Linked DNA regions of Danio rerio. The main gene of each other region encodes a partner of the protein of the gene in region 2 in a complex. Links are inferred from orthologs where the notes say so. Each region holds a gene or a part of one and is shown on either strand. Other genes may lie near its edges.

Region 1 (10,688 bases), on a different chromosome or scaffold from region 2:
TTGCTGTGAAGAGACAGCACTACCTCCTGCGCCACTTGTTTAGCAGTCAGGGCACTGGTTAGGAATTTAGCCAGTATAAGAAGCTGTCTCAACCACAAAAAAAAATTAAAAATAAATAAAAATTCTTCCAGTGCACTAAAACATTTCCTCCCTAAAATGTCCCACAATGCTCCATGCAAATCAGACAGCATCAATGCTCGCTATGTTCCTAATGGAATTCTAAAGCACATGAATTACGTGAAATTACCAAACATAACGACACATATGGTGCATTCCAGTCCAAATTATGCCCTTAACTTTCTAACTTTCCTCCATATCATTTACATAGATGTATGTCATCGGTTATGTTACACAGGTGTCCACAACTGGTAGAGTACCTGAAAGGGTTAATATGGAGTTCCCTAAACCCTTGAACACTTGGTAATTAATATACACTGTGAATGCAAGTCACTATTGAGATGACATTCGCATTGCATTGTGGGATATACAGGTACTGGAGTGTACACTTGAAGCAGACTCGAACCCTCGTATAAAATCGAGGAGTCAAGAGTGTGTCCATGTAAACCTCCCTTGTCCTTATTGACAAAGTGGAATGCGCATTAAAATTAAGGCGAGGACTCCTAATTCCTCATGAATTTGCCTGTACGTGTCTAGTGAAGTGGAACACAGCCATACTCTAAACAGCCACTTTATTCTGTACACCTCTCCAGCTGCTTGTTAATGCAAATACCTAATTAGCCAATTACATGTCAGCAACTAAATGCATATAGCCATGCAGGTGTGGTCAAGACGATCTGCTGAAGATCAAACAGAGGATCAGAATGAGGAAGACACACACTTTAAATCAGCGATTTCAATCCTGGTCTTGGACATTCACCACTCTGCGCATTTTATTCATCCCTTATTATTATCCCATCAGCTCATTATATTAGGTTTAAGAACTGTACTGACTGTGTATAAGATGATCTGTACAAATGTGCAGAGCAGTAGGTCCCCAGAATCAGGACTGATCAGCCCCTGATTTAAAGAGATTGTTCACAGAAACAAGAGTTTCTTTATTCGGTTGAACACACCCACAAAAAAAAAAGATATTTTGAAAAACAGTTGCTGTTGACATCCAAAGTAGGAAAAATATATCTTGTAAGTCATTAGTAGGCTCATAAGGAATCTGGGTGTGCAGATATCCGCAGATTTTTGGCCCATCATTGAGTCTATTTATGTACTCGTGTAAATTCATATTTATCAGTTTTTAAATTCATTTCAGCAATAATATTGACTACATTGACTGTTGTTTACAATACAGTTTGTAAAGTAATATTTGTTTTGTCTTTTAGTAGATACATTATATGATAGACTTGGTTTGTTTACCAAATAAATGGATGTAGATGGATTTGCACTGTAAACCCTAAATAAAAGTTACAAAACTATTATTTTGTATTTCATTTAATAAGTTATTAGTAATGATATTCTTAAAATAATACTACATAAATCCACACATTTTTTTTTTTTTTTTACAAAATTCTCCGCAGAAATAGCAAAAATTGTCCGCAGATTCTGTCTGGCCATAGTCATTGGCTATGAGTTTCCAGCTTTCTTCAAAATATCTTTGCGTTCAACAGAAGCAGGTTTGGATCAAGTGAAGGGTGAGTAAATTATTACAGAATATTCTGTTTTGGGTAAGGGACTCTGAATATGGTTGAGTGTTTCAGAAATTGTTGATCTACTGGAATTTTCAAGCCCTACAGTCTCTATGGTTTACAGAGAGTGGTTGAAAAAAAAAACATCCAGTTAGTGCAAGTTATATAGGTGAAAATGGCTTATATGTATATATAATTGTCAACGTTTGAAGTGGATCAAAACAGTTTTTCTAAATAATATTGTAGACAAGAATGGGTGTAGTTGCTGTACTGAGTGTGTATAAGATGCTCAGTACAAATGTGGATTCCCAGGATCAGGATAGAAAGCTGCTGATTTAAAGGGTTTTCTGATATGTTACTACTTGGTCTGAAAAAGGAAACATCCAGTGAGTGCAAGTTCTATGGGCGTAAATGCCTTGTTTAAGTGTGTGTGTGTGTGTGTGTGTGTGTTTGTGTGTGTGTGTGTGTGTGTATATACATATATATATTCATTCTGATGTGGCGACCACTGTTTAATAAAGGGACTAAGCTGAAAATAAAATAAATAAATGAAGATATAATGTTGATATGAATTTAACATTTAAAAAGCCTCAGAAAAACTGCCATGAATGTTATGTAAATACAAACTTTTATTTTGGATTATTTATATAGTTAACCGTTTGACAGCACTAACAATAATAGATTTTATTTGTAGAATTTTCTGTGAAAATGACAGTTGAATTCTGACCTCACGTCAGTGAAAATCAGCACTCTTACAAACATTGGCAATTGTTGTGCAGTATACCTTTGACCACCCCCCTGCCGCCCATACCCTCCCATTCTCACCCTGATTGCAGTCGATCACGTTGCAAAACTCCCTCACATTGTTTTCATTGATCTCCAGCTGTTTGCGCTCTATAAATGCAGATATCCTACGTTCAATCTGAGAAAATGAGGAGAGAGAGAGCAATGAGGGTCAGGCTGATGAGCTATTGAAGAACAAAAAAATCAATTCACTGTCTTCTTTTTTGCTGTTTAGTTATAATGAGGACCGCTAGGCCGTACGGGCTGCATGACTAACAAGTGACCAGGGTGGACACAATTATTCCAAAAATCAAAATATTTCTCACACGTAACCGTTTCAGATAGTTGTGATTTGCTTGGGCCTTTTATTACAGTGACTGTAAATAAATAAGCAATAAAAATGAGGGCCTCCTTGTCCTTCGCCCACATGCAATTTCAGCGTGTAATGAACATCCACTTCATAACGTTGCAAGGACCAGGACCTCTCTCAGGACTCTCAAAGTGGGTGGCTATTTGTTTCTTTCTGAAGGAAAAGTGGTGAAGGAGCCTTTCATTCATTCTCAACTGTCTGTCCACAGATGGCAATTCACACTGCATATGACTGACCAACTGGGGCAGATTACATGCAAATAATACATTCTGACTGTCAAGCAATTGACTTTAATTGTGTTTTGGGAGAAGAGATTGCTTTAACACACAAAAATAAATGTTCAGACTAACAATAATCATTGGTAAATAAAAATGAAAACAATAAACTATTCAACTAAATAAATTATCTTAATACGTAGCAATGTACTTATGACTTACTGCATTAAAACTGAAAATAGCTCTTGGATGAAAAAAGATTTTACATTTGACATTTTGATTTAAACTATATATATATATATATATATATATATATATATATATATATTAAAAAAAAAAAAAAAAAATATATATATATATATATATATATATATATATATATATATATATATATATATATATATATATATATATATATATATATATATATGTTTTATAATATTATGACAAAATTATTTGGTTAGATTTGATTTGATTAGAAAATAAAAGGGTAATATTTTTCTTAATTAAAATGCGTTATTAAAATAATGTAAAGCACATTTTATTAAGATTTTTAGAAGATGCACACTAAAATTTAATTCACTGAAACAATGGTTTATGTATCAAAACAACTTTGCCAGACATATTTCTTTTTTTAATAATAATTTTTTCAGAGTTTTTACTATCAACAAACAGGACAGTAGAGACTATTACCAAGAAAGCATGGGGAGCAGAGAGAAAGAGGAAGGGTCGGCATTGGACCTCAAGGTGGAAATCGAACTCAGGTCGCCGTGATCACCGCCGTGAGTGCATTTGTTGATGCACTAACCACTACGTCATCGGTGCCAAACATATTTCGAATAGGAATCATTTGATGACATATAAAAACACTACATAACGGATGCTCCAAAAAAAAATAATAATAATAATAATAATAAAAAATTGTCATTAATTGTCATTTTTAATCTTTATATTTTGCAACTATCCTTCAAAACCACTACGTTTTACCCCAATTTGTAAATATTCATATGATCACTTACTTGTTTAAATATTCCAATAAATACAACTGTGATTTGTGTAAAATATGCCTACATTTTGAAGTGATAAATTTACCTCTGATTTAGCAGCCTTGATCTGCACGTTATCATCGATTTGAGTCCTGTTTCGATCCTCAAGGGCAGCACAGTGGTCAGATGTAAGAGGATCATCAGTAAACATCTGCTCAGATGTATGTGCAGTTTCTTTCCTTTCACCGATGTCTGGGTTGGAACTTGTACAGTTATTTGCCTCAGACTCCACTATCTGCTTCAAACTCTCAGAGACCGACTAGAAGCAGAAGGTTAATAAAAAAAAAACAATGTGGTAAAAGACAGTCTTACAGTGTCTTTATAATGATAAACTGTGTCTTAGCAAGGAGTCAGAAGATAATGTGCAGTAATGCTGGTCATATACATTTAAAAAAAAAAAAAACGCTGATAAGCTAATCAGAGAACCATCTTGAAGGACAAAGGATTCATTTTGCCCTGTCAGTTTTTGTTTTGCAAAAAACACTGAACATATTTACATTTTAAGAACATTATTCAGGAAACAACATTATTCCACTTGCATAATATGAATTTAATAGTGCAGGGCAACGATTAATCGTAGTAAACCGTGACCAAAATATAAATACGTTGTAACATAATATATATGTGTGTGTGTAGTATGCATATTTAAAACACACATATACATAAAACTTAATTTTACAATAAAAAATATTATATATATTTTATATGTAAATGTAAATAAACATTTTCTCAAAAAAATTTAATAAATAGCATATTTATATATATATATATTTATATATATATATATATATATATATATATATATATATATATATATATATATATATACACACACACACACACACACACACACACACACACGCGAACACAAACACACACACACACTTACATACATACATGCATACACACAAACACACACACACACACACACACACAAGCTTTGAATTTGGATGTGATTAATTATAAATAAACATGAGTCAGTACTATGTATTTTATATATTTTAATGATCAACTAAAAGAGTGCACTTACTTTCTATCCCTCAAAGCCTTAATTTCATAAAATAAAAACATTGCAGCAAAAGCTTGTTTCCACCAAAGAAAAAACAAATAAGTAAGGATAACTGTGACTTTTCTTCAACGCATTGTGATTTGATACTTGCAACTGAAAATGATGAACATTATCTCGTAATTCTGACTATTTTCAGTATTGTTACTCTGCATCTCAGGGTTTCAAATGGTTTTGACTTCGTTTATAATAATTTATATCTTGTAATTTAAACGTTTTATCAAAAATGTGAGATACAAATGAAGATTTGTGGGCAATAAAGTCCCTATTCTAACATAAAAAGTCAAAATGCAAGATAAAATATTAAATAGCATTATAAAATTCTGACTTTTCCACCAATAATATATCATGTTTCCTTCTGGCAATACTGATGATATTCTCTGAATTACAATTGTGACATAATGGGTTTAATTTTTTATTCCATTGTGGAAACAAATGTTCACCAATTCTCTGGATAAGGTTCATTACAGATAAGTAAACAAATAAATGGCAAACAAAATTCACTTACAAGATCTATTTAAAGGTTCAGAAGATATCTTTATACTTAAAAAATCAGCTATGTGTGTTAGTAAATGTTATAATGCACATGACTCTGTTTACCTGTAGTTTGGAGATGTGCTGTTGTAAACAGGAGTGCACATGAGATGGCTGAAGCTCACAGATGTTCACATTGTTGACATTGGCACTGATTTTCAATGCGTTATCATCTATTTTTAACTGGAAAATAAGACAGTTTTTTGTTGTTGTTGTGGTTTCTAAATTGTCAATGCAGAAAAGATGCCTAAAACAGACTAGGTGGTTTATTTCGCTGGTCAATATGGTTTGTTAAATGAGTAGTAAGATTTTAGGCACTTGTCAGCTGGGGAGGCAGGGAGTAAAACCAGCTAAAAATTGAATAAAAATCCAGAAAAGAAACATATGAGACCATTATAAAAACTCCAGGACAGGCTGATTATTTCAGCAGTGACAGTGGAAATATTGCATATTACAACTTATTGCAGACAAGTACAGACAAATTATCTAAGTGATTGAAACAAATCATATTAGCGCGGACAAATCATATAATTTTACGACATGGGTGATCTTGTTACTTCGGAAAAGTTCCATAATTTAACGTTACATATTTAGCTTTTGGCATCTCAAATGAAATAACGTTACAAATATGACTGTTAAGAGCTCTATCCCAAACAGTGACACCGTGGCAGAATTTGCTTTTAAACAAACCTTTACTCCAAGCTCAGCGAGGGAGTCGACAATAGAGGCAACGCAGTCTCTGAAAGCATCCCTTTGTCTTGCATGAAGTGAAATCTGGCTTCTGCTTTGCTCTTGTTTACTTGCAGCACACGCACCGCGTCTTTCGCCGTCCGCCGCCATCATTCTTCCGCTCCCGGCTGCTGCGCTGATTGGACCAACGGTCTCCTGCATAACATGACCTCACTTCCGCTAGCAAAATAACGAGCATTTAAAATTGACTACTGCAAATATAAACGAAGGTAAATTACTTTATTTCGATAGTTTAAATATTGACATTGACCGTGTTTAATGTTTATTATTTTGTCCGTCACAAAACAATCTTCTGTTTCACCCTTTTGTGTTTTTAAATCGCATTTAACATTACAATTTATCAATATGACTAAAATGAAACGGGTTTTTATGTATATGCCAAGGGTAATGCATTTACCTGATCATTTCATGTCATTCTTTAAAAAGCTATTTAAAAATACACACACCCAGACAAACAAATAGGGTTCAAAAGGTTGTGTAACGTTAAAGGTAAAGGCCTGTAAATAAAAAATGTATGCCTAAATGATATTGGAAAAAACTGACATTGCAATATTTTCATTCACTGTGATATATATTGCGATATAAATGCAATTTCACCAGATGAATAGCTTGCTAAAATTGAGTTATTGTGTAGTGGAGCATATCTGCATAAAATATAATTTTAAAGGGCACCTATGATGAAAATAATATTTTCTAATCTGTTTGGACAGAACTGTGTATAGGTATAGTGTGTGTCCACAGTCATATTAAGGTGATATAAAGACAATAGGTCTCTTTTTAAAAAATTTCTTAATGTTAAAATAGGATTTAAATCCCTCCTATTTTGAGGCCCACCGCATCGTGACATAGGAGGGCGGTTTCCCTGTCCACCGAATTGATTGACAGCCGCGTACTAACATGTATTAGTAGTAATACGCATAATCATATCAACAAGGCACAAAGTGTGCAAAGCAACTGGGATTAAAAGATCTGTTCAGCTTTCTGTGATCATCAGTCATCATCAAATGTGATCGAGAGTGAGTTTTACAAGTTTAAAAAGTTTTTAAAACAGTGCATGTTTGTAATGAATTACAGAGATTATGCCGTCTTTATCACCACAACAGCATGTCAGTACAATAATATAAAAGACTCCTCAATCCTGGTTTGTGGACATTAATTCAGGCAGTGTATATTAAATGTGCATTAGGGGATCAGCCTAAATGATAACCGGCTAGCATAATATTTTTTAAATTCAATCTCTCCACTGCTGGCCAAAACCACGCCTCCTGTTATCACAAACACGCACATTAAAGATGACAGAGACCCACTAGATCATGTCATTCACCAGTTAGAAAAGTTTATAGTACTTTATAATACTAAAATTCCCAATGAAAAACTGCTTTATATCTAGCATGTTTTCAGTGTTGCAAGCAAAACTTCATAATGTTCAATATTTCATACATGCAAGGATCGCTGGCCTTACTCTCTCTTACGCGTTTTGTCCTAAATCGACACCTGTGTGCTTAGTGATTGGTCAGCGATGTGCAGGAATTACATTTATTAGTAAGTCACATTTACATGCTGTTTCAGACTGAATATTCAGAGTAGAAGGGTAAACAATATAGAGGGCGCTTCACAGGTTTTCATTGTTCAAAAATGAACCAATGTGATGTGAATATAAAACCAACTTCAGCTCAGTAAAGCAGGCTAGGCAGAATAGCGCTATTTACTGACATTTTGTCGTTAAAGTAAATAAAAATCGATATTATTGATTAGAGGTGTGAACCTATACTGGTCTCATGGTTTGGTTCGGTTACGATTATCATGCCATCGATTTGGTTCAATTCGGTATCTTGGTGCATTGATGATGCTTTCCATACACAGTGTTATATTTTTTGGCGGGGGCTATAACAAGCTGTCTGTTTAAAAACACACATAGACACATAGCATTACACTGTCTCTCACACATACACACACAAACATAGACAGCACCAATCAAATAAACACACACACACACACACGTGCACTTGCTTGCTTGCTCGCTTGCTCGCTCGGGAGCGATATTGTGAGACCGCCCACTCCTGTTCAAATTACACCAGAGTTACAGACCGCTCCCGCGCTTTATTTGGAAATAAATTTTTTTTTGGTCTCGCGACAGTGTACAGGTACAGCCACGGGAATGCAGACTTATATCCAGAAGTATCGTTGTAACAGCCGAGAGGAAAAGAGAGGGAAGGAAAAGTCACACCAGCAGCCGAGAGGAAAAGTCACGCCAGCAGGTGAAATGGGCCACAGAGAGAGAGAGAAATGGAGTTCACTTTCATTCCCTAAATCGCAGAGAAATATGGCTTCTGCTGTAAGTGTCAGTGAAAGACTGTCCAGAAAGCAAACACATGCAGTGAAATTGTGCACAGTTTCTGCGTTTTTAATTAGTTGGCACCTGGGGCCTGTTTCAGAAAGGAGGTTAAGTAAAACTCAGAGTATTTTAACCCTGAAATGAGAGAAACTCTGGGGTTTTCTGTTTCAAAATGGCAGGTTTGTTAAACTTGAGAAAGCAGGGTAAGTCAAGCCTGTTTCTAAAAGAGAGGTAACTTTTACTCAGAGTCAGTTACTGTGGTAACTTACTCTGTGAACCTAACCTGGTCAGGAGCAGGTTTTATTTTCTAAACTCAGAGTTTCTGTCGGTCTCCTCCACTTTTTTAAAGACGAAGCGGTATTTCTCGCCTTAGCCTTTCGTTTCCACCCACCTATTTTAATGCTCATTTTGGATATGTGCATAAAAAACGATTGATGGAAACATCATGATGCACTTAACTTTTAATAATATGCATAAAAAACATGCATAATTGAGCAGGATTAACTTATTCGATAGAAAATATGTGCATAAACTACGATGGAAACACTTTTGCTGAACAAATTACAGTATGTACATTAAAAAAAGGTCTTTTATATGATGATGAAAATGTGTGTGAATGGACAAACCAGCAGGCTGAGCACACTGTAGCACGCCTTAAATGTTGTTTTAGTCATTCTAAAATGGCTTAACTGTTTAAGTATTAGTGTATATTATTACATCTGAGCATCTAGAGCGTGTCAAGAGTCTTCGCGTTTCATGACTTCAAACACCCCACGTGTTCATTGTCTTCTGAGACGCAAGTACATTTATTAAATAAATAATTGACGCAGCTTCTTCTACCACAGTAAATTCTGATTTTACTGTTGATATTTAGCGCCAGTTAATCAGGAAGTGACGATTTTGTTTTCTTTGACTCATTGGATCGCAACGCTGCTTTATTCGCATCTTTTATAAAATATTCCAGTTTTGCACATACATTTATGTAATATATTTGGATCAAAACATAGATATTGCCTACCTTTTAGTCGCACACAGAACAATAAATAATTAGCTTAAATTAATTGACCTTCGACATGTACTGTAACTAGATTAATGGAATTATTATTCTTTCTAAAAATTATTTTTGGTACTGCTTACCTTCTAAATGTTATATCAAACTCTATCACTTGATCAAGAAAAAAAGGCAGACACACAAGTGCACTGTTAAATCTATTAAAACGGATAAACGTGTATAAAAGTAAAAAAGTAAAAAATGTATAAACATCACACATTAAATTACTTATTTTAGTATACTTAAATATTTAAATATTTTAAATGTAAAATTACGCATTAACTTGAGCAGCTGTTTTCCCAGGCTAACTGTCTCTGTTTCACTGATGGTTGCTTCGTTTTAAAAATATATACACTCATTTGCTATAACGTTGCATGATCACTTCAAGTTCAGCTGGAGAAAGAAATGGTGATCTCTTTTTTAAAGATGTTGCCATTGTCACTCGTAATATCTGCGCTCCATTGATAATGCCTTTTAATAGTCAGTGTGCGCGCTTAACTCTGAGTTGGTCTTCTAAAAGTTGATTGACCTAATTTAGATCCGCTATTCTGAAACCGAAAACTCTGAGTTTTTAATCTCTCGGTAAATCAACTTAGAGTTCAAGTTTAAACTCTGAGTTGTTTGAACCTCCTAACTGAAACAGGCCCCTGGAGTGTTGTAAATACTGTGCTCGTCTTCCTCGCGACAGAGAGCATATGAAATAAATGACGTCAGTACATAATAACCGGTTATGATTATTTCTAAACTGATATGGAATTGTCCACGTCTGACAGGCAGGTGGGAACGGTGGGCAGGGAGAACCAGCGTTAAAGGCACAGGCCACAAAAGCAGCTAAATCGTGTTTAGAGTAGAACATTCCAACATTCTAAAATGTATAAATAACTAATCTGCTGTTTTTTTT
Region 2 (10,197 bases):
GATTCATTTGAATTAATTAGCCTGACGTGTTTACTGCTCCAAAATATCATAAATCTTTCAAAAAATAGAATATATTGTTTTCAAAGGGGAATTCTTTTGTTGTTTTTTTACCTAGACATTTAAAAAGAATATATTTTAGAGCAGTGAGCACAATTTTGTGATATTTTTATCCAAGTTTATCATACAGTCAGAATCTTAAACCAGCCCATGCCTAGTTATTATGGAGGGCAAACCGCCCTAAAATTTGAATATGTTACCAATATTTACCTTCTATTTTATTTTTAACATTTATTAAACACTATATTTGTATTTTTAATTTGTATAGACAACTTACATTACCCTTGTGCACTGTTCAAATGTTCTACCCTTTTATTATGTTCGGGATGAAAACATCCACTGTATTAAACTGCTGTAAAAATGCATCAGATAAATATTTTTTTCAAATTTGTTTTGCATAAATCTGTGAATCAACCTCAGTCCTGATCAAAACTACTAAATGTTTTTTTTTAAATTACACAATTTTATTTCTTTAATTGCCAAGTTCACAAATGATGTCTCTGATTGGGTGAAAAAAACACGCACAAAATGACATATTTTCAATATAACAAGTAATTTGGACTGGATTTTTTTCCCTTGGACAGTCTGTGAATGACAACAACATTGGTTTTGATGCATTGTTAGATTTTCATTTTTTCTCCCTAATTTACTGTTGGTGGCTGTTTTGCCTCATTGACTTACATTTTAACCACATTTGATGGTGCATACATTTTTTTTCGTTTACTCCATGTAGTTCTGGGAGCTGAGATGCATATTTTGATTTTCTCAAACAAAAGTGCACAAAGGTCACTAACACACTCACAGACACACTTTAATTTGCTGTTATACTTCATATAAAATTCAGAAACTAAGCTTTTTTTGCATAGGCCTATGAAAAGGGTTAATGCTGCCAACTGATGATCAACAGTAAAAATTACAAATTTTATCTCTTGCCAACAGGGAAAACCCCCAACAATCAAAAATGCATGATCATATGAGCTGCGTGCCAAATCATGGCACCCTGTACACTTATGCATTATGTACTTATGCACTTACACACTCAACAGAATAGTATATGTATATAGTGTCATCACAAATAAAACAATAATGTTTTTTTACTAAGTGGAAATTCAAATCGCTTCCCTGATGACGTTTGACGGTTGTCAAATTAATGAAATAAATGAGTATAACCGCACTTACCATCGGGAGGCGCTATAATCACTCTGCTAGTAGAATTTTGCTTTCACTATCCAAAATAAATAAAGTTATTTAACATGAGTGCCCTATAGTTCTGCCCCTTCCGCTACGTGATTAAAGCTGTGTTCATTGAGTGCATAAAGTGTCCAACATTCCACATTTCATTTTACTGGTTAAACGAGTGTCAACCGGGTAATTAAAGTGAACATTATTTTCAGTTTTAAGTATGAATACACTACTTGCACTATCCTATGTGATTTTGTGGTATAAATAGTGTAAGTATGCGATTTGAGAAGCACATATGGTGGCATGGTTTTGCAATCAAAAAAATGTGGTTATAATGAAAGTCAATGGAGAAAAATCAGCCACCAACTGTAAATTAGGGAGAAAATTTTCATTTAATCAAAAACAATGCATCAAAGCCAATGTTGTTACTAATCGTTCACATATCCAATACTTTGATAAAAGGTTAAAAAAAATTCAATCTACAATTACTTTTTATAATAAAAATACATAATTTTGTGCTTTTTTTTTTATACCAAATCAGTGACATCATTTATTAATTTGGCAATTAAAGAGTTAAATCATGCAATTTTCTAAGCAATTTAGTAGTTTTGATCAGGACTGAGGTTGATTAACAGATTTACGCAAAAAATAAAATAAAATTATCTATATATATATATATATATATATATATATATATATATATATATATATATATATATATATATATATATATATATATATATTTATTTATTTTTTTTTTTAATCTGATGAATTTTTATAGCAGTTCTTACCCAAATCACCCCAGAGTGGATGGAAACATCCCCAACAGTACTTAAGGCCTAACCTTTCTGACACACAGTTTGTGTTTTGAGCAGACATATTAAAACATCCATTATTCATTCATTTTACCATGGTGAATTAGGAAGAACAGCTGCTTCAAGACCAATCAGAAAATGTCATTTGACTTCCATTGGAGAACAAAACCCAACAAACATATGTGAGTGTTAAGAATTGTGGCAAACTGTTGTTTCCTGGTTTAAAATACCATAAGATGAGGACCACACTTCATAAAATATAGGTCTGGCAAGGCAAGGCAAGACTAGGACACATCAGGCTGAGCTCCTCTTGGATCTGCTGTCACACATTGACAGCAAATCTATAATGCATTACAGAGGAGTTTCTCAACTTTCAGATGGTCTCCTTTTCTCTACAAAAATCGAAATCACCAGCAGAAAAAAAGTGGAGCAACATGAAAGAGAATGTATACAGTGGATTTTACTGCTTGCATTTCAACTCTGCTCTTCTCCTCCCTATGAGACTCACCAGACACGATCTTGCAGCTCATCGTGATCGGCTGGAATGATGATTTCCCTGGTGACTCGGCAGCGCTGGGCACTTGCCCCTGTGGAATGATCTTACAGCTGGATGTAATTGGTTGAAATGCAGAGTTTCCGTGGGAACCAAGTGTAATTTTTTCAGACCTGTTTGACTGTGAAGTTTGTTCCAAACATGAAGGACGCACTGACTCACTTTTGACAGTGACACCTGGGGAAGAAATAAATGAATGAGAAAAAAACGATTCTTTAAGAAGTATAATTTGGAGACAGTTTAAGTTGTCACAAGCACAAAAAGCATTGGCACATAATTTATTTGTGCAGGCAAAGAATAATAAACAGACGATTAAATCACAGCTTCCACTTCTCATGCAATAAAGTGCAAATATCCTACTAATCCTCTCTTTATAAAAAGGATAGAGCAAGTGGGTAAATATATAAAAGCTGTGGCCACATTAATTTGAGCAAGTAGTACACGACAGTCATTCACCATGTTTATGTACATAATAGAATATGTCTGTTTGAATTTATTATCTTATACAGGATGTTTTTAAATCGAGAGATAAAAAGGAGAGGGATAAAACAAGATGATGAAGCACTGATAAAAACAGTGACTGCTCCATCATATTTCACATTTCTGTACAGAGAGGTCAAGTTTTGATCTTCTATTGGTCTCACGCAATGACAAAATGCAAACTTGGGAGGTCAGAGTTCACCAAGCTTGAACTTTGGACATGCAAAACTTGTCACACGAGCTTGCGTTTCTGATCTAGAACATTCGCATACATATAAATGGACATCTAAGAGGTGAAATTCTTTTGTGTAGACACTGTAAAATGGACAACCACGAGTCTGTCTACCTCTTTCTGAGCTGTGTTGATCATCATGAGCAGGATGAGAGGGAGAGGAGTTTCTCCTAGAGCCATGGATAGTTGAGGAGGAGGAGCCAGATCCGCCTACGAATGCTGGATAAGAAGATGATGATGAGGATGATGAAGGGGCAGAGGGGATGAAGTCATCACCCAGTGAGTTCCTGTAGAGCTGAACATCCACCACCTTCAGAGGAAAAAGACAAAGCAATTGAAAAATGGCATTTAAAAAAAATTACAAATCTGAAAAATAAAACACCAATGTCAAAAAAAGGAGTTTAGAACTATAAAACCTCTGCACTTTTACTGAAGAAACCTTCTTCACAAATATTTGAGCATACAGTATATTCTGAAAAGTTGGTTGAAATACAATGTAATATCAAGGTCAGAACCTAGAAACTAGGATTTATTCCATTTCTTATTTTCTTAAAAGTGAACAACATCAATAAATCTTCAGCTGACACATTCACTCATACTTTTCATTTACCTCACTGACACTTGCACTAACCAAAACTGCAGATTTGTGCTCGCCATCATTTTGAAGACTGACATTTTCATTACTATATTGACAGTCGAGACCTTGGCTTCTATTTTTAACAGAAGCTCATTTACACATGCTTATTGCACAAGTTAAACATTTCCTGTGTTAACCCAGAATTTAACCTAGAATTAAAAATGTACCATGAAATATCATTTTTATACTACACAAGACAAAATAATAAATGAAGTTACAGAAAATATCCAGTTATTAAAACATTAATATAGTGTTATTAATATTGTGTGTTGCCTACTTGAGCAGTAACGTCTGTTTGTAGCTTTTTGTGACAGTTGTGTTTCTTCAGGGTAGTACAGAATATAGGGGAAAAAAAAGCTTCCTTTAGCTTAGTCCCTTTATTTATTAGGGATCGCCACAGCGGAATGAACCGCCAACTTATTCAGCATATGTATTACACAGCGGATGCCCTGCCAGCTGCAACCCAGAACTGGAAAACACCCATACTCCCATTCACACACATACACTATGGCCAATTTAGTTTATTCAATTCACCTATACTGCATGTCTTGGGACTGTGGGGCAACAGTAAACTGACAACTGACAACCAGGACTCAAACCAGCAACTTTCTTGCTGCGAGGCGACAGTGCTAACCACTGAGCCATTGCGTCACCTCATAATTTTTCAACATATCTTGAATTTAAAAATAAAAAAACGTTCTATATAAACAAATTAGAATGGTCATATAAACTTATGAGTACAGCTTGTGTTTATCTTACCGTTTCAGCTCCCAAAGTCTGCAAACCTGTGTATGTTCGGTCAAGCTGATGGAGAAGAAATAAAAGAAGATTAACACTGACATCAAAAAACATTCAACAGTATTTGCAGTGGATGGCAGATGAAGTACTTCAACCCACAAACGTTTCTTTTTTCACACTTCATGCCCCTCTATTTAATCTTTTTTTTTTCTACCAAGAACAAAAGAGATTGCTGTGACAAGAGATAAAAGAAGAAAGGAAATCTAAACAGACAGACTGCTTTAAAAAAATCCACCTTTTTTACCTTTAGATTAGAAACACCATGTATAAAATAATGGATTCGTACAGACATATTCTATTCTGCACAATTCGCAGAAACAAAACATCCTCTCAGTGAATAATATCAAAGACATGGAGGTGGATGCAAGTCATCTACTGCTTGAATTCCTCACAGATGAAAGTACAAAGCAAAAGAAAGAGGGGGAAAAGGAAAGACGAAAAGGGCAACAAAAGGGGTTCAAAGACAGCGTGCGTGCAAGCGGTCAGCAAGTGTCTGACCTTTAAGTGGTGGATGATGTCGATACGTTTGTTCCGTTGGTCTTTAAAGTGGATCTGCACACGGACAGGAAACTCTCCCCACCCTCGACGGGTCAGGTGAAACGGTGGCTCACTAAACACACAGATTTGACAAATGCACCACAGTTAGAGATACAATCACCTCCTCTAGAGGGCACTGCCTGTTCTGTATTGATAAAAACTTAAAAATAGAATATTGCACCTTTGCTAAAACTGGAGTCATTTTTTTAAATGAAATACTTTAGTTGAATATTTAAGCAAAGCAAGAATTATTAAGACTCAAAGGTGACAATAAAAGCATTTTATTCCTGTTACAACATAAATACAGTTGTTGTAAATATTCTATTAACAATTTGTTGTAGTTTCTTCAATAAAATTAAGCTGCAAACGTTTTAAACATTTTTAATGATAAGAAACGTTTCTTGTATCAATATATTAAACATATTACAAAAGAATTTAAAAAATCCTACCAACTACAAACATGAGTGTACAATAAGACTCTTGAGTCTTGTTTATATCTGTTATCAAAAGGTTAGTTTACACCAAAAAATTAAATGTCTGTTACACATTACTAACCCTCATGTCATTCCAACCCCCCCAAGACCTTTGTTCATCTTCGGAATACAATTGAAAATATTTTGGATGAGATCTAAGAGCTCCATCATCCTCCATAGACAGTAATAGACTCAATTTGTTAAGAAAGTCTCCAATAACATCCTTAAAAATGTCCATGTGCCTGCAGTGGAATAAAGGATTAAGTCAAAAAGAAAATGAATAAAGTTATTATGAGGATAGAAGGTCTTGTGCTTTTGAAACAACATAAGAGTGAGTAATTAATAACATAACTTTCATTAAACTAACCCTTTAAGATGCATTTTTGTCAATCAGATCATCAGTGCACAACGCTAAACATGGGTGTAAACAGGGTTTTTATTTTTGAACAATGACAGCCTTCCTATACTGTTTACCATGCTACTCTGAATATTCGCTCTGAAATAGCATGCAAGTGTGGCTAAGTAATAAATGTAATTCCTGCACGGCGCTGGCTAAACACTAACTAACTGGCGAATGACATGAACTAGTGTGTTGTCTGTCTGCTGTTGTGACGCGGTGCGCACGCTCGCGATTTCGGGGGGTGTGGCTTTGAATCCCAGTCCCTCCCTGCTGTCCAAAGATAATATGCTAAGTGGTTAGCATTTTGGCAGATCACCTACTGCACCTTTAAACAGAACCTGAAGCAGCACTTGATAATTACAGACGGGTGTGTTTGGTCAGAGTTGCAACTGAAATTTGTAGGAAAGTATTGCCCTTTCTCAATATGCATTCTTCAGCGATCTTGCGCCCTCGTGTTCTCGGGTAACAGCATCATCAACAGCCAAAGTTCAGTTCCAAAACTCAAGACTGCAAGAGCAGAGGACATGTGAAAGTTCCTGGATGTGTTCTTGATAGAGGACACCTCGATGCAGACTTGAGCACAAAACTCGCTTGAGAAGTCCCAGAAGGCATTTCGACTGAATAAAGAAGGTGGGGAGTGCAGCATCTGATATAGATTTAATATTAAAGTTCGGAGATGTGACTAATTTATCTCAGGAGTTACCCTAAATGAGACGGTGAAAGTAAACATTTCCATGAAAATCTTTATAAAGGCATGAACAGATTAAGGGTGTTTATTTGCTGAAATTCATATTAAAATTTGTTTTATTTGTATTGTGCAACATACATTTATAATGTCTTTATGCATAGTACATATAGTGAAAGAAGGAAAAACAATAAAGCGTTGTATGAATGCTGAGATTTTTAAATAATGTTCTATTAAAAACGCGTGAAGATCATGTGACCATCAGGAAGAAAGCAGCATCTCATTTCTCACAGGACGCATTCTCTGTTCTCTAAGTTCATTTTTACGAGGTAACTCCACAAGAACTCCACAAGTACGCTAGTACGTTATCTCTGCGTTCTTGGAATTGAGAAACAGCCTAGCTCTCCAGGACCAGTGTTGGTAGGCCCTGGTCTAGAAAGGTTGTTGAAATTCCAGAGGTAGTAAAACATTTTATCGAGTTGCTTTCATAATAAAAATGCTCATGTGGTTAAAAAAAATTCAATGATTCAGTGATGTAATTTAGCTGACCCCATAATATGTTAATATCACATATAAACAAAGCTTCAGTGTTGTTAGGTGCAATTTGAATTAATGAAGTTCAAACTATTACTACAAATTATCCAAAGATGGTCATGTTGAAAAAAGCCTGAACAGTGAGATGAAATCAAAGCAGATGGATGAATCGGGTGGAATGTAAACACACACCTGACTTCCACGAGGTCATTGGGCTTGTAGCTGGGGTGCAGGAAAAACCAGACCTTCTTCACAAAGTGATCAATACTGGGCTCCTTACGAGAACCTCGAACGTACACCATCCACTTATGAGTGGACTGATCATTCTCCTCACGTTTATCAGGGGCAATATACCTGGAACAGAGAAAAAAAAAGTCTCAAAAACGGGTCTCTTGCTGCGTCCTAATTCGCATACTTATACTACACCCGAAAGTATGTACTTTTTTGAGAGGGAAAAATATATACTTTTGAGTGTGTGACAGAAGAGTGTGCTTTGGGACATACTACTTTTTCGTTAACAGATCGTTATGTTGCTTAATTATGAGCCCTGTCAAACATCCATGTCATCCTATCTCTTATTGGAGAAGCAGCGGCAGGTTAGGTCTTTCATGCAGAGAAATCTCCTCCGGTCTTTGGATAATTATGCATTCAGATGGTAATCTCCAAACATATCTTTATATAAGCGCAGTATTGTTGTTGCAGATGAAATATAACACAGAAAACACCATTTAAATATTTTCCAGTGGGCTAGATATTAATTAACAGTCATTCAAACAACTTTAACAAAGCTTTTTACTTGACGGTTGGTCTCGCAAGTCCACCATGTATGTAGTTTATTTACACTTTTCATCCATGTTAGTAGTTCTCATCGAAATCATGTCCAATGCACCAATACTGTGGACAATATCAGCAATTAGAGTATGGACGGTTCTGCACTTAAAATTTTTACCGGAAATAGTAAACCATCCGGGAACCTTTGGCATACTTTTTTCAACATACTACGATTTGGGACATACTAATTGTATTTTCAAATACTATTTAGGAAGGATAGTATGCGAATTGGGACGCAGCATCTGTTTTTTAGAAACAGAAAGAAAACAAATTGCATGAACTACCCATTAACTGTCATAAAAGCCAACTCTTCAGTAACATATTTAAATACTGAAACTGCAAAATTCAAAAGGCAACTGCATGGTAGCATTTTTGCCTTCAGCACAGATAAAAGTTAAGCTTATTTGCACATTTCTTTTCAACTCAGTGCGTGTCGTATATTTTCAGCTACCTGCCACAGTAATGTGATTTGTGCTCTTCATTTTAGGTTTCTAGGGAAAGGAAATCATCTGCTTCACACATAATGGTACAATGTGGAATTGTTTAGAAACGCTTTATTCAGACAAACAGCTTGAGTTCATGTTTTTTTTCAGCACAATGGCCCAGGAGTAAACAGTGTCATAAAGATCTTTAGTAGCTCTGCATGGAAAAAAGTCAGCTTATAGCATTGCTCATACAAAGACACACACACACACTTGTGTCTCACTCACATGCCTTGAGTGAATTTTATGAGGTAAAGTAGACGTGGACTGTGTGATAATGCAGAATAAATGAGGTTAGATTGCTGCCTAGGGGAAACTAAAGCTTTGCTTTTCACCATGTGAAGGTTTATTGGGTTTCAGAGAAATAATAATGAGACTTTCCAGAGAAAGTGATACATTTAAAAATGAATACAAGCTCGGAGAAATAAATATTTCTCCTCATAAAAGCCTGTGGAAATAACAAATGGTTGGAAATATAATGGTTTAAGATTAATTCAAAAATGAATATTCTGTTATTATTTACTAACCAATAAGTCACCTTAACACTTCTTTCTTAATGTTCTCAATCACACTTTTCCACTTCAGGTGTGCTAGGCCCAAAGTAAGAAATTCTTTTTGAATTTAAGTCGTCTGATGCCATACATTTTTATAGACTACAATTAAAGAGCATGGCATATGTGATCAAGTCAATCCAGACCTCTCTTTTTCATATTCCAAAGTCATAGTGTCTAGGGTACCATGAAAATATCTTAATGATCTAATGTTCATTTTTGGCTAAACCATCCCTTTAAGGATTGCAGAACCAAGTATAAAGCTTCCTCAAGTAAAGCTTTACTCAAGGCCACACCAGTATTATTCAGAAAGGAAGACCAAAAACATTAAAAACCTTTTAACTGCAACTCTTTTCCACCACAAACAATTGATGAAATTGTTGTCAGTTTTATAGTAATAGTAAAAATAGAATTAGCAATAAAATACTCTATACTATATAATAGGTAAAGATCTCATACTTGGATACGTTTCCGACAACAATGGTTTTCTTCATGTAGAGTCGAGAAGCATCATCTCCTGTAGTGTGATAAGTAACATGCTGCTCTATAGATGATGGCACACCAAATGTGTCCTATAAATGAGAAAATAATAATAAATGTCACTATCAAATCAAGTATGCATTGAGCATTTCAGCTGTAAAATCTGTATATGTGAACATAGGATAAAATCAGCTTATTCCAATTATATGAAATAAATATAGAGGAATTTTAGGAATGTCTACTGGGATTTTAGAAAGCTATTTTAATATCCAAGGAAAAAATATAAAAAATATTTACAAATTTTACACAAAATTCAAATAAGAATCAATATAATTATTTTAAAAATGCACATAAACTTGCTTCAAAGTGGAAAATTTATTTAAGATTGTGTGTTTTTATAAAAAAAAAACACACAATCTTAAAGACAAAAATTCAGCAAAACTTTTACTTCATTTGACATATTTTGTTTA

What was found. Proteins that work in one complex are often made in the same cells at the same time.
Region 1: yeats2 (region 2) and mbip share a complex: the UniProt entries of both Homo sapiens proteins name them as parts of the ADA2A-containing complex. The link is inferred for Danio rerio from reciprocal best matches to the Homo sapiens genes YEATS2 and MBIP.

Annotation. Positions count from the first base shown.
Region 1 is NC_133192.1:40,160,035-40,170,722, reverse strand, and holds the start of mbip (MAP3K12-binding inhibitory protein 1), read right to left. Parts: upstream 6,507-10,688; 5' UTR 6,495-6,506; coding exon 6,342-6,494; intron 5,835-6,341; coding exon 5,718-5,834; intron 4,311-5,717; coding exon 4,098-4,310; intron 2,560-4,097; coding exon 2,463-2,559; intron 1-2,462. UniProt on the Homo sapiens protein: Inhibits the MAP3K12 activity to induce the activation of the JNK/SAPK pathway. Component of the ATAC complex, a complex with histone acetyltransferase activity on histones H3 and H4.
Region 2 is NC_133177.1:47,775,759-47,785,955, reverse strand, and holds part of yeats2 (YEATS domain-containing protein 2), read right to left. Parts: intron 9,820-10,197; coding exon 9,707-9,819; intron 7,738-9,706; coding exon 7,576-7,737; intron 5,365-7,575; coding exon 5,253-5,364; intron 4,761-5,252; coding exon 4,716-4,760; intron 3,630-4,715; coding exon 3,434-3,629; intron 2,785-3,433; coding exon 2,563-2,784; intron 1-2,562. UniProt on the Homo sapiens protein: Chromatin reader component of the ATAC complex, a complex with histone acetyltransferase activity on histones H3 and H4. YEATS2 specifically recognizes and binds histone H3 crotonylated at 'Lys-27' (H3K27cr).